3 linked regions of the Cricetulus griseus genome follow. The protein of the gene in region 1 interacts with the protein of each later gene in a pairwise test. Links are inferred from orthologs where the notes say so. Each region holds a gene or a part of one and is shown in the gene's direction. Other genes may lie near its edges.

Region 1 (3,660 bases):
TGTTTTCATTCTGGCAGGCAACTTTAGCAAGTATTGATGCTGAGCTTCAGAAACTGAAGGAAATGACCAACCACCAGAAGAAACGAGCAGCTGAAATGATGGCATCATTACTAAAAGACCTTGCAGAAATAGGAATTGCTGTGGGAAATAATGATGTGAAGGTAACGTGGACACTAATATTACATGTAATTTTCCGTATACAACTCACCCTTAGGCTTACTGTTCTGTTGTGTATACACATTATTGTGCAGGTGCATATGTTTTCAGGTGTGTGTGAAGGTGAGAGATCAGTCGTAGATATTGTTTCTCAGCACCCACTCACTTTGGTTGGGGTTTTCTTTTTCTTTGCTTCTTTCCTTGTTTTGTTTGTTTGTTTGTTTGTTTGTTGTTGTTTTTTAAACAAGTCTCTCTCTCAATGGGACCTGGGACTTCCTACAGGGACCCCTTCCTCCCAAGCATTGGGAATACAATTATGTGCCCACTATACCTGGCTGTGTTTTGTTTTGAATTTTGATATTTTTAATGTGGATTTAAAAAGAAAAAAATCCTCAGGCTTTTGTGTTTTACTGACTACACTGTATCTCCAGCCCTACTATTTGGTTTTTGACAAAGTTCTTTTCATACCTGTTATCCTCATAACCATGTGTGGTAGGTAGTGTTAACTATATTATTAGATTTTTTTTATTTATATATGTGTGAGTGTATATCGTGTGTGTACATGTGTCTCTGAAGGGCAGAAGAGAGTCTTATATCCCTTGAAGCTGGAGTTAACAGCTGTTGTGATGCCCCATCTAGGTGCTGGCAACCCAGTTCAGCTCATCTGGAAGAGCAGCAACAAAAACATTGAGACATCTTCCAGCCCCTTAATTTTGATGAGAAAAGAGGGAGTAAACCAGGGCACAGAAATAGAATATTCACAATGCAACCTCATTGAGCCTTATTGGATTCTTCCCTCAAATGTGTAAAGATTTTCCATTAAAAATCACCTTTCTGGCCTGGTGGTGGTGGCTTAGTGGGCAAGGGTACTTACCACATAATCCTGATGGCCTGAATTTGATCCCTGGAACCCATGGTGGAAGGGGAGAGCTCAGTTGTCTAGCTTCCTTACCACAGAGATTAAAAGTGACCACCACACCTGCTGAGCTTTTACCTGGGTTCTGTGGCTGAAAATCTAAGTCCTCATACTTGACAGCATGCATTTTACCCTAGGAGCTATCTATCTGGCTATACACATGATGTTTTGGAAAAAGCACCTCATTGACTTGCCTAGACTGAATGGCTAACAAACCTAATTTGGGAAAATAGACATTGAACAATTTTGGCTTTAACTCCCCCCCCCCTTTTTGAGGGCGGTGGTGGTATTTGGTGTTTTATTTTGAGACAGGTTCTCACTTGGTTCAGTTTGTAAATAGGCTGTTCTTGAGCTTACAGAGATCTTACTGCCTCTGCCTCCCAAGTACTGGGATTAAAGGTGTTTGCTACCATGTGGCCCTAGCTTTAACTTACTTCATGTTTTTCTCACAGCAACCAGAGGGAACTGGTATGATAGATGAAGAGTTCACTGTTGCAAGGCTCTACATTAGCAAAATGAAATCAGAAGTAAAAACCATGGTGAAACGCTGCAAACAACTAGAAAGCACACAGACTGAGAGCAACAAAAAAATGGAAGAAAATGAGAAGGAGTTAGCAGCATGCCAGCTTCGTATCTCCCAAGTATGTTTTACATAATGGCTTTGGGGGGGTTCTAAAAAATTAATGTGTAAATTTTATTATAAAGGTTTTCAGAATCATAAGCTTCTGTTTATTTTCTTTCAGTAACAAAAGGCCTTGTTTTCTTAGTGTAGTTCTTAGTGTAGCTGAATGATTTAACATGTACATCCTAAGTATGGAAATTGGCCAAAAACATATGACTGATGACAAAATGGATTAGCAAAACTGCAGGGACCAGTGTTCTGTCTTTGGCTGCTGAGTAATGGTAGATACTACTTGAGGAACTGTTCAAGGAGGGTCAGTAATAGCAATGTCTCAGGTTGCAGGTGATATAAGCTGTATAGATAATTGTCTAATCTTCATATTTTAACTGCACAGTGTATGTGAGATATTTCCCACTTCATATCAGTATTTTTTTCCCCAAAGCACGAAGCCAAAATTAAGTCACTGACTGAATACCTTCAAAATGTAGAACAAAAGAAGAGACAGCTGGAGGAATCTGTTGATTCTCTTGGTGAGGAACTAGTCCAACTTCGAGCACAAGGTATTGGCTCCTGATTGCTATGTCCATACTCTTCCTTACTTTTATATAGTTGTTGTACACATACTTAAACTGAAAGAAAATGGTAAGAGTATAAAAAATTTGGAATAGTAAATAAATTATCCATCGTGGCTTTGAAATATTTTCATAAGGAGTATCTGGCCTGCAAATACATACACACACAGATGAACACATTCATGTGAACATGTGTGGCACACACACACACCTGTTGAGAAAAAAGAAAAATTGAGTATAAAAATTGAGTATAAATAGCAATTCAAGGGATTTCCCACAAAGCTCTTGTATATATGTAAATCCTAACATAAATCCTAACACTTAGAAACTATGTCATTTCCTTTGTGTGATATCAGTACAGTGGTGTTAATGAAGTATCCTAGTGTAATTGAACTTGGAGAGTTTGGCCAAGTTCCTTTTTTGTTGTTGTTGTTTTTTTTGTTTTTCAAAACAGGGTTTCTCTGTGTAGCTCTGGCTGTCCTGGTACTCACTTTGTAGACCAGGCTGGTCTCAAACTCACAGAAATTCACATGCTTCTGCCTCCAGAATGCTGGGATTAAATGCATGTGCCACCACCGCCAGCTTGGCCAAGTTCTTAGAAAACATATTTGCTCTCTGGTTTCTATTAGGAATCTTGAGGCTCACTTTGGTCCTCTTTTTTTTTTCCCTCTCTCACTCTCTTGTACGCAAACAGAAAAAGTCCATGAAATGGAAAAGGAGCACTTAAACAAGGTTCAGACTGCAAATGAAGTTAAGGCAAGTTTGATGCTCCAGTTCGTCCTAATGTTTTTAATCCATCATTATTATTAATCTTAGTCTAACTTTAATATCTTTCCCCTTCCAAATTAATTTTAGCAAGCTGTTGAACAGCAGATCCAGAGTCACAGAGAAACTCACCAGAAACAAATCAGTAGTTTGAGAGATGAAGTTGAAGCAAAGGAAAAACTAATCACTGATCTCCAAGAGTAAGTGTTGTATTTTTCGCTGAGTTGGTAGAAACTAATTCAAAAAGGTTGACTCTTCAAACAAGAGAGGATGATAAGATACTAATAGATAAACCCATTCTCACTAGAATCTTGTTTTCAGTGAAATTAGAATTTTTATCATATTTTTAGTAAAACTTCCCAAGTTCCAGATCAGTTTTGAAAATATATTTTTAGACCTTTTCATCAGAATATTTTGTAAAATAGGGGAAAGAGAGCAAGGAGCTCCAGTTTGAACTTGTTAGTGTAGGTGATTACTAGCTTCTAAGATGTTTGAGAAAGGCATCTCCAACTATGGGGATGTTGTTTTATTTTTAAAAGTCATTATCTTTTATCTAGAAGCCATTTCTTCTCTTCTCATGTTTCTTATCTTCACATACATAGACTATAAGATAGAGAAACCTGGTAATT
Region 2 (2,637 bases), on another chromosome or scaffold:
TCTCCTCTCTCTCTCCCTCTCCTCTCCCTCTCTCCCTCTCTCTAGAGCTAGAGCTACAGCTAGAGCTAGAGTTACAAAGGCAGCTGTGAGTTGCCCAGTGTGGGTGCTGGGAACTGAGCTCAGGTTCTTTGGAAAGACAATGTGTGTTCTTAACCACTGAGCCAATCTCTCCAGTCCTCTTTTTTTTTTAAAAAATAAATCTTTTAAAAAGCTTTTCTTTTTTAATTTTTATGTGTATGAGTGTTTTGTCTGCATATTGCATACTTATGCCTGATGCCCTCAGAAGCCAGAGAGGGTACTGGGTCTCCTGAAACTGAACTTTTAAATGGTTATGAGTAGATACCATGTAGATACTGAGAATTGACCCCAGGTCTCTGGAAGAGCAGCCAGTGTTTTTAACTGCTGAGCCATCTATCCAGCCTCCATCTAACTTTGTGGCTCACAACCATCTGCAATGAGATCTGGGGCCCTCTTCTGGCCTGCAGGAACACATGCAGACAGAACACTGTATATATAATAAAATAATTTAAAGAAAAACCTTATAGTCATTTTTAGAGAAAGCTGATATGTGATGTGTCCATGGTGTGCATTTGTCAATATCTTGGGATCTTTTCTGATAATTAGATCTTAACTTGAATTTAATGTATGGCTTTGAGCATCTGAAGAATATGAACTGGTCCCTAAAATAGCAAACTTGACACACTTTTGAAAATTTTATTTACTTATTTATTTATTGTTTTTTCAAGACAGGGTTTCTCTATGGCTTTGGAGGCTGTCCTGGAACTAGTTCTTGTAGACCAGGCTGGCCTCGAACTCACAGAGATCCGCCTGCCTCTGCCTCCCGAGTGCTGGGATTAAAGGCGTGCGCCACCAATGAAATGCCCAGCTGAAAACTTATTTTAATCACTTCTTAAATCTCTATACAGATCCATCAGGCATGCAAACTAATCTGCAGGAAATGCAAACGTCACGTGACTGACCTCACAGGCCAGGTGGTGCAGGAAGGAACCAGGCGCTACAGACTGTGTAACGAGTGCCTTGCTGAAGCTGGCATCGACAGCCTCCCTGTTGATCTGGAAGCTGAGCAACACTGCATGTCCCCCGCAGATGGAGATAAGGATTCGAGGTGGCATCTGAGTGAGGAAGAGAATAGATCCTACGTGGAGATTGTGGAGGACGGGTCTGCCGATCTGGTCATAAAACAGGTTGAAGATAGTGAGGAAGAAGAGGAGAAGGAAATCAAACCCAACATTAGGTAGCCTGAAGTGCGACTCCTCAGAGCTGGCCTGCCTGCAGTTTACATGGACGTCCTGTATCTCTCCATGGGCAGAGCCCGGTTAATGGATTTCTCCGGCTGGCTTAGAAGTGACCTGGTGTAACTTGCATGCTTTTTGAATAGGCCATTGTATCCACTCTGAACTTGGTTGCCCTGAACTATGTTGCTGCTCTGGGAAGACCTTGCTTGTATTGGCATGATGGATGATCAGTTACCCTTTCTGTTATTACACAGATGGCATTTTGTTTAAATATTGGAAAAATCTATTTAGCAAACATTTTTGAGTAAAATATTTTAAATTAATCTATCACAAAACTTTAAGACAATCTTTTCTATTATATTTTTATTGATTCATTTTGTTTTGGGGAGGAGGGGAGCCTGTGTTTGGAAGGAAGCCAGAAGAAAATCCTACCATGTGGGATGGAATTCTTGGTGGCAGGGCCCCTTACCTTCACCCACCAATAAACCTGCCTACAAAATGTTAATGTATTTTAAAAGCATGTATGTTATAATACTAAACCTCACAGGGAATCAGGCAAGACTGAATTTGGGAGTCTGGCTACCCAATTGCAGGCCCCAGCAAATGTATTAAAAATTTCAAGTCCAGGGGCTGGAGAGATGGCTCAGAGGTTAAGAGCACTGACTGCTCTTCCAGAGGTCCTGAGTTCAATTCTCAGCGACCACATGGTGGCTCACAACCATCCGTTATAAGATCTGGTGCCCTCTTCTGGTGTGCAGATATACATGGAAGCAGAATGTTGTATACATAATAAATAAAGTCTTTAAAAAAAAGAAAAGAAATCCTGAATATGTATTTATAAAAAAAATTTTTTTTCAAGTCCAGCTGGATGTTGGTGGGGCACGCCTTTAGTCCTAGCACTCGGGAGGCAGAGGCAGACGGATCTCTATGAGTTCGAGGCCAGCCTGGTCTACAGAGTGAGAGCCAGGATAGGCTCCAAAGCTACACAGAGAAACCCTATCTCGGGGGAAAAAAAAAAAAATTCAAGTCCAGGGGCTTTTAGAGATGGCTCAGCAGTTAAGAGTACTGTCTCTTTAGAGGACACATATTTGAGTCCCAGCACCCACATGGCATCTCACAACCATCTGTAGCTCCAGTTCCAGGGAGTCTTAACACCTATTTCTGATACGTGGGCATCAGGCACTCAAGTGGTGTATAAACATACATGCAGGTAAAACATAAAAGTTAAAAATTTTTTCCCCTGAACTACAAATTGACTTATAAGACAGCCATGGCTACACAGAGAAACCCTGTCTCATAATCCCAGCACTCAGGAGGCAGAGACAGGCAGATCTCTGTGAGTTCAAGGGTAGCCTGGTCCACAGAGCAAGTTCCAGGACAA
Region 3 (3,227 bases), on another chromosome or scaffold:
CCAAGGCGCACAGAATGCAGACGTACCCTGTTGGGGGGTGCTGCTGGATTACACAGCCATGCTGACCTTCTTATGTATATGGCTCAGCACAACATTCGGGGAAGATTCCTAGCCCAGGTTATTTTCTGGTAGAGAATGTGTATTTCAAATGTTTTTGAAAATAAAAATGTTACCACATAATTATCAGTTGTAACCTCGGAATGTGGAAGATGAAATAGCCTCTTCAGTATGACTTCACTTACAAACTGGAACTTATAAGTTCGCTTCAAGGGCATGATTTCAGGGTAGCTATGGAATTTTCATTTTCACTATGTTTTTTTTTTTCTTTTAATAGGGAGATTTGGCAGATTCTTTTTTCATTGTAGAATCTGGAGAAGTGAAAATTACTATGAAAAGAAAGGTAAACATTTATCAGTCCTAAATTCCTCAATTAGCAAGGATGTTTCAATGATGTTAGATTTAAATGTAACTCATCTCACTGCCTTCTCAGGGTAAATCAGAAGTGGAAGAGAATGGTGCTGTGGAAATCGCTCGGTGTTTTCGGGGACAGTACTTTGGAGAGCTTGCCCTGGTCACTAACAAACCAAGAGCAGCGTCTGCACATGCCATTGGGACTGTGAAGTGTTTAGGTAGGGGTCACGGTGGTAGGCCTGGTTATGTCTGCAGTCCAGGCACTCAGATCCCATGGGACATTTTATTGGGTTCACAAGTACTGAAGTCCTCACGAAATATGATTAAGGTTTGAACTTACTTTAATTATTGAAATAAGAACTCCCAGTTAAAAGTTTTACATTTAATTTGTCAAGAAAATGCCATACTTTGTGTTCCTCAAAAGAGAAGGCTAAAATGGTGCGGTTTTTGTTGTTGTTGTTGTTGTTGTTGTTGTTAAGTTCTTTATTAAACTCTGCTGGGAAGTTGGGATGACCATGAAAAATTCAGTCATATCCACCCCCCACCCCCCCCCCCCACCCCCACCCCGGGATGGGGCTCAGGTCTATAGGAGCTGTCAGAGCATAATCAATTGTTGTTACTCAGCTTGTTATGGCTTTGGTCTACCTGGGGAGAATGACAGAAATGCCACTTTCAGTTGGCATCTACAGAGATTTTGTGTCTGAGAAATCACTCACTTAGGTAATGAAAAAGATCGTTCAGAAATTAGTAACATAAATGACTTTTTTTTTAAAGATTTATTTATTTATTATGTATACAATGTTCTTCCTGCCTTCATGCCTGCAGGCCAGAAGAGGGCACCAGATCTCATTATAGATGGTTGTGAGCCACCATGTGGTTGCTGGGAATTGAACTCAGGACCTCTGGAAGAGCAACCAGTGCTCTTAACCTCTGAGCTATCTCTCCAGCCCCTAACATAAATGACTTTTAAAAACCGATTCAACCATAATTATTCTCCCCGTGTACCTCACAATACAAAACAATAGGTTAGTTTCCATGATTTTTAAGATTTACAAGGTTCCTCAGGATATTCCTTACAGACTGACTCACTTTGTAAAAGGTTTTCAGGAAGTACAATATTAGTGAACTGTTACTGTGATGAACGGGAAGACACGCCTGACAGATTCTCCTCAAAGCTGTTGACTGTAAGACAAAGGTGGCGTGTGAGAAGCTGCTCATTCTGTAATAATTACATTAAAGGAAGTGGCAGAAATACAGGAAGTATACAAAAATATAGGAAAAGCCAAGACACACCCATGTCATCACCATCTCCCCATGGCTTCCACTATTGTAATTCCTTCTTGTTTGATTTGCATGAGTTTTCTGTTTTTAAAGAATTTTCCACTATGGAATTTTGTTAATACATCAAATTTTGACATTCTATTAGGCAAATGCATACACGATAAATTATCTAATCACTTACTGGTAAATGTTTTATGAGCTTTGGGTCCAATCTGTATGTGTATATAGATATGCAGAGGTGACTCTTTACAGTCTTTTTAAACGATTTCTCTTTAATTAGTGCATTACTTATATAAAGTTACAACACTTACGTTAGGAGCATGTGCTTTGAACACTCGCCATACTCACCCTGATGGTCTCCCGCTCTTTTCAAAGAGCCCCTCCCACTTTCAGAGTTTTTATTTAGATTTCCCCCTTCGCCTGTAGAAAAATGTACGGTGTCTGCTTCACTTAGCATGATACTTCCAAGTTTTGTTCATTCTTCTGCAAATGTTACAATTTATTTTTCTTTGTGGCTGAGTAACACTGAATTGTGTGTATGCACTTTATTTTTCCATTTTTTGGTTGATACTTAGGCTGATTCCATAACTTGGCTATTGTGAATAGTGCTGCAATATACACGGGCAGGTGAATCTCTCTCTGATGTGCTGACTTTGACTCCTCCAGACATTGCCTGGGAGGGTAGAGGCTGGATAAAATTGTAGGTCTAGTCTTTAATGGGGAAAGTATGTATTGATTTCCTAGCAGCTGCACTAATCTATAATCTCATCACTGGTGGACAAGGCTTCCATTCTTCAAGAGACCTTACTGACCTTTGTTGTTTCTTGGTGATTGCTGCTTTGACTTTGGTGAGATGGAAATCTCAATGTAGTAGTGACCTGAATTTATCAGATGGCTATTTTTTATGTATTTATTGGCTACTTGTTTTGAGATTTAGTTCATTTGCCTATAGTCAATTTTTTTTTTGCTATTGTGCCTTCTATACCATGCAAGAATGTCCCATAAAAACCTTATAAAACCTACCTTTTTAACCTATGCAAATTTGAGAGAGAGAATTTGATATGTTAAGCCATATATTATAAACTCAAGTTTAAAATGCATGAAACAGCCAGGCCTACTGTGTGTAATTCCAGTACCAAAAGTGGGAGGATCATAAATTCAAGGCCAGTTTGTTCAAGGTCAGTGTGAACTATTTAACCAGGCTGTCTCAAAACCAAAACCACAAAATAAAAAGAAAATGCATGAGGCGGACAAGCAAAGTGATGAATATATTGATAGATGCAGAAGAAAAGCATTATGTTAGTCACCAGTTTGAATTGTGTAGACAAAGGTATAAATGTGTAAAAATCTTCACAGCATGATATCATGCACTCCGAAAAGAAGGGAAGAAACACTCTTGTAGCACTTTTCGGGAGTTCTGTTTACTTTTGAGAGCTCTGAGACTGAGCCATGTTAGACCCTCATTTCCTCAGCATGGACCAGGCACCTCCCAGCAGCTTTGCCACAGGTTCATCAGCTGTCAAAGCATCCCAGAC

What was found.
Region 2: the proteins of Kif5b (region 1) and Zbtb8a interact in binary tests that used the Homo sapiens proteins (3 or more experiments, as listed by UniProt). The two-hybrid records come from large-scale screens. The link is inferred for Cricetulus griseus from reciprocal best matches to the Homo sapiens genes KIF5B and ZBTB8A.
Region 3: the proteins of Kif5b (region 1) and Prkar2b interact in binary tests that used the Homo sapiens proteins (3 or more experiments, as listed by UniProt). The two-hybrid records come from large-scale screens. The link is inferred for Cricetulus griseus from reciprocal best matches to the Homo sapiens genes KIF5B and PRKAR2B.

What each region holds. Positions count from the first base shown.
Region 1 is NC_048596.1:208,258,275-208,261,934, forward strand, and holds part of Kif5b (kinesin-1 heavy chain), read left to right. Parts: intron 1-17; coding exon 18-161; intron 162-1,524; coding exon 1,525-1,713; intron 1,714-2,136; coding exon 2,137-2,254; intron 2,255-2,960; coding exon 2,961-3,022; intron 3,023-3,121; coding exon 3,122-3,231; intron 3,232-3,660. UniProt on the Homo sapiens protein: Microtubule-dependent motor required for normal distribution of mitochondria and lysosomes. Can induce formation of neurite-like membrane protrusions in non-neuronal cells in a ZFYVE27-dependent manner.
Region 2 is NC_048595.1:23,683,863-23,686,499, forward strand, and holds the end of Zbtb8a (zinc finger and BTB domain-containing protein 8A), read left to right. Parts: intron 1-926; coding exon 927-1,259; 3' UTR 1,260-2,001; downstream 2,002-2,637. UniProt on the Homo sapiens protein: May be involved in transcriptional regulation.
Region 3 is NC_048598.1:169,556,941-169,560,167, reverse strand, and holds part of Prkar2b (cAMP-dependent protein kinase type II-beta regulatory subunit), read left to right. Parts: intron 1-334; coding exon 335-400; intron 401-490; coding exon 491-629; intron 630-3,227. UniProt on the Homo sapiens protein: Regulatory subunit of the cAMP-dependent protein kinases involved in cAMP signaling in cells. Type II regulatory chains mediate membrane association by binding to anchoring proteins, including the MAP2 kinase.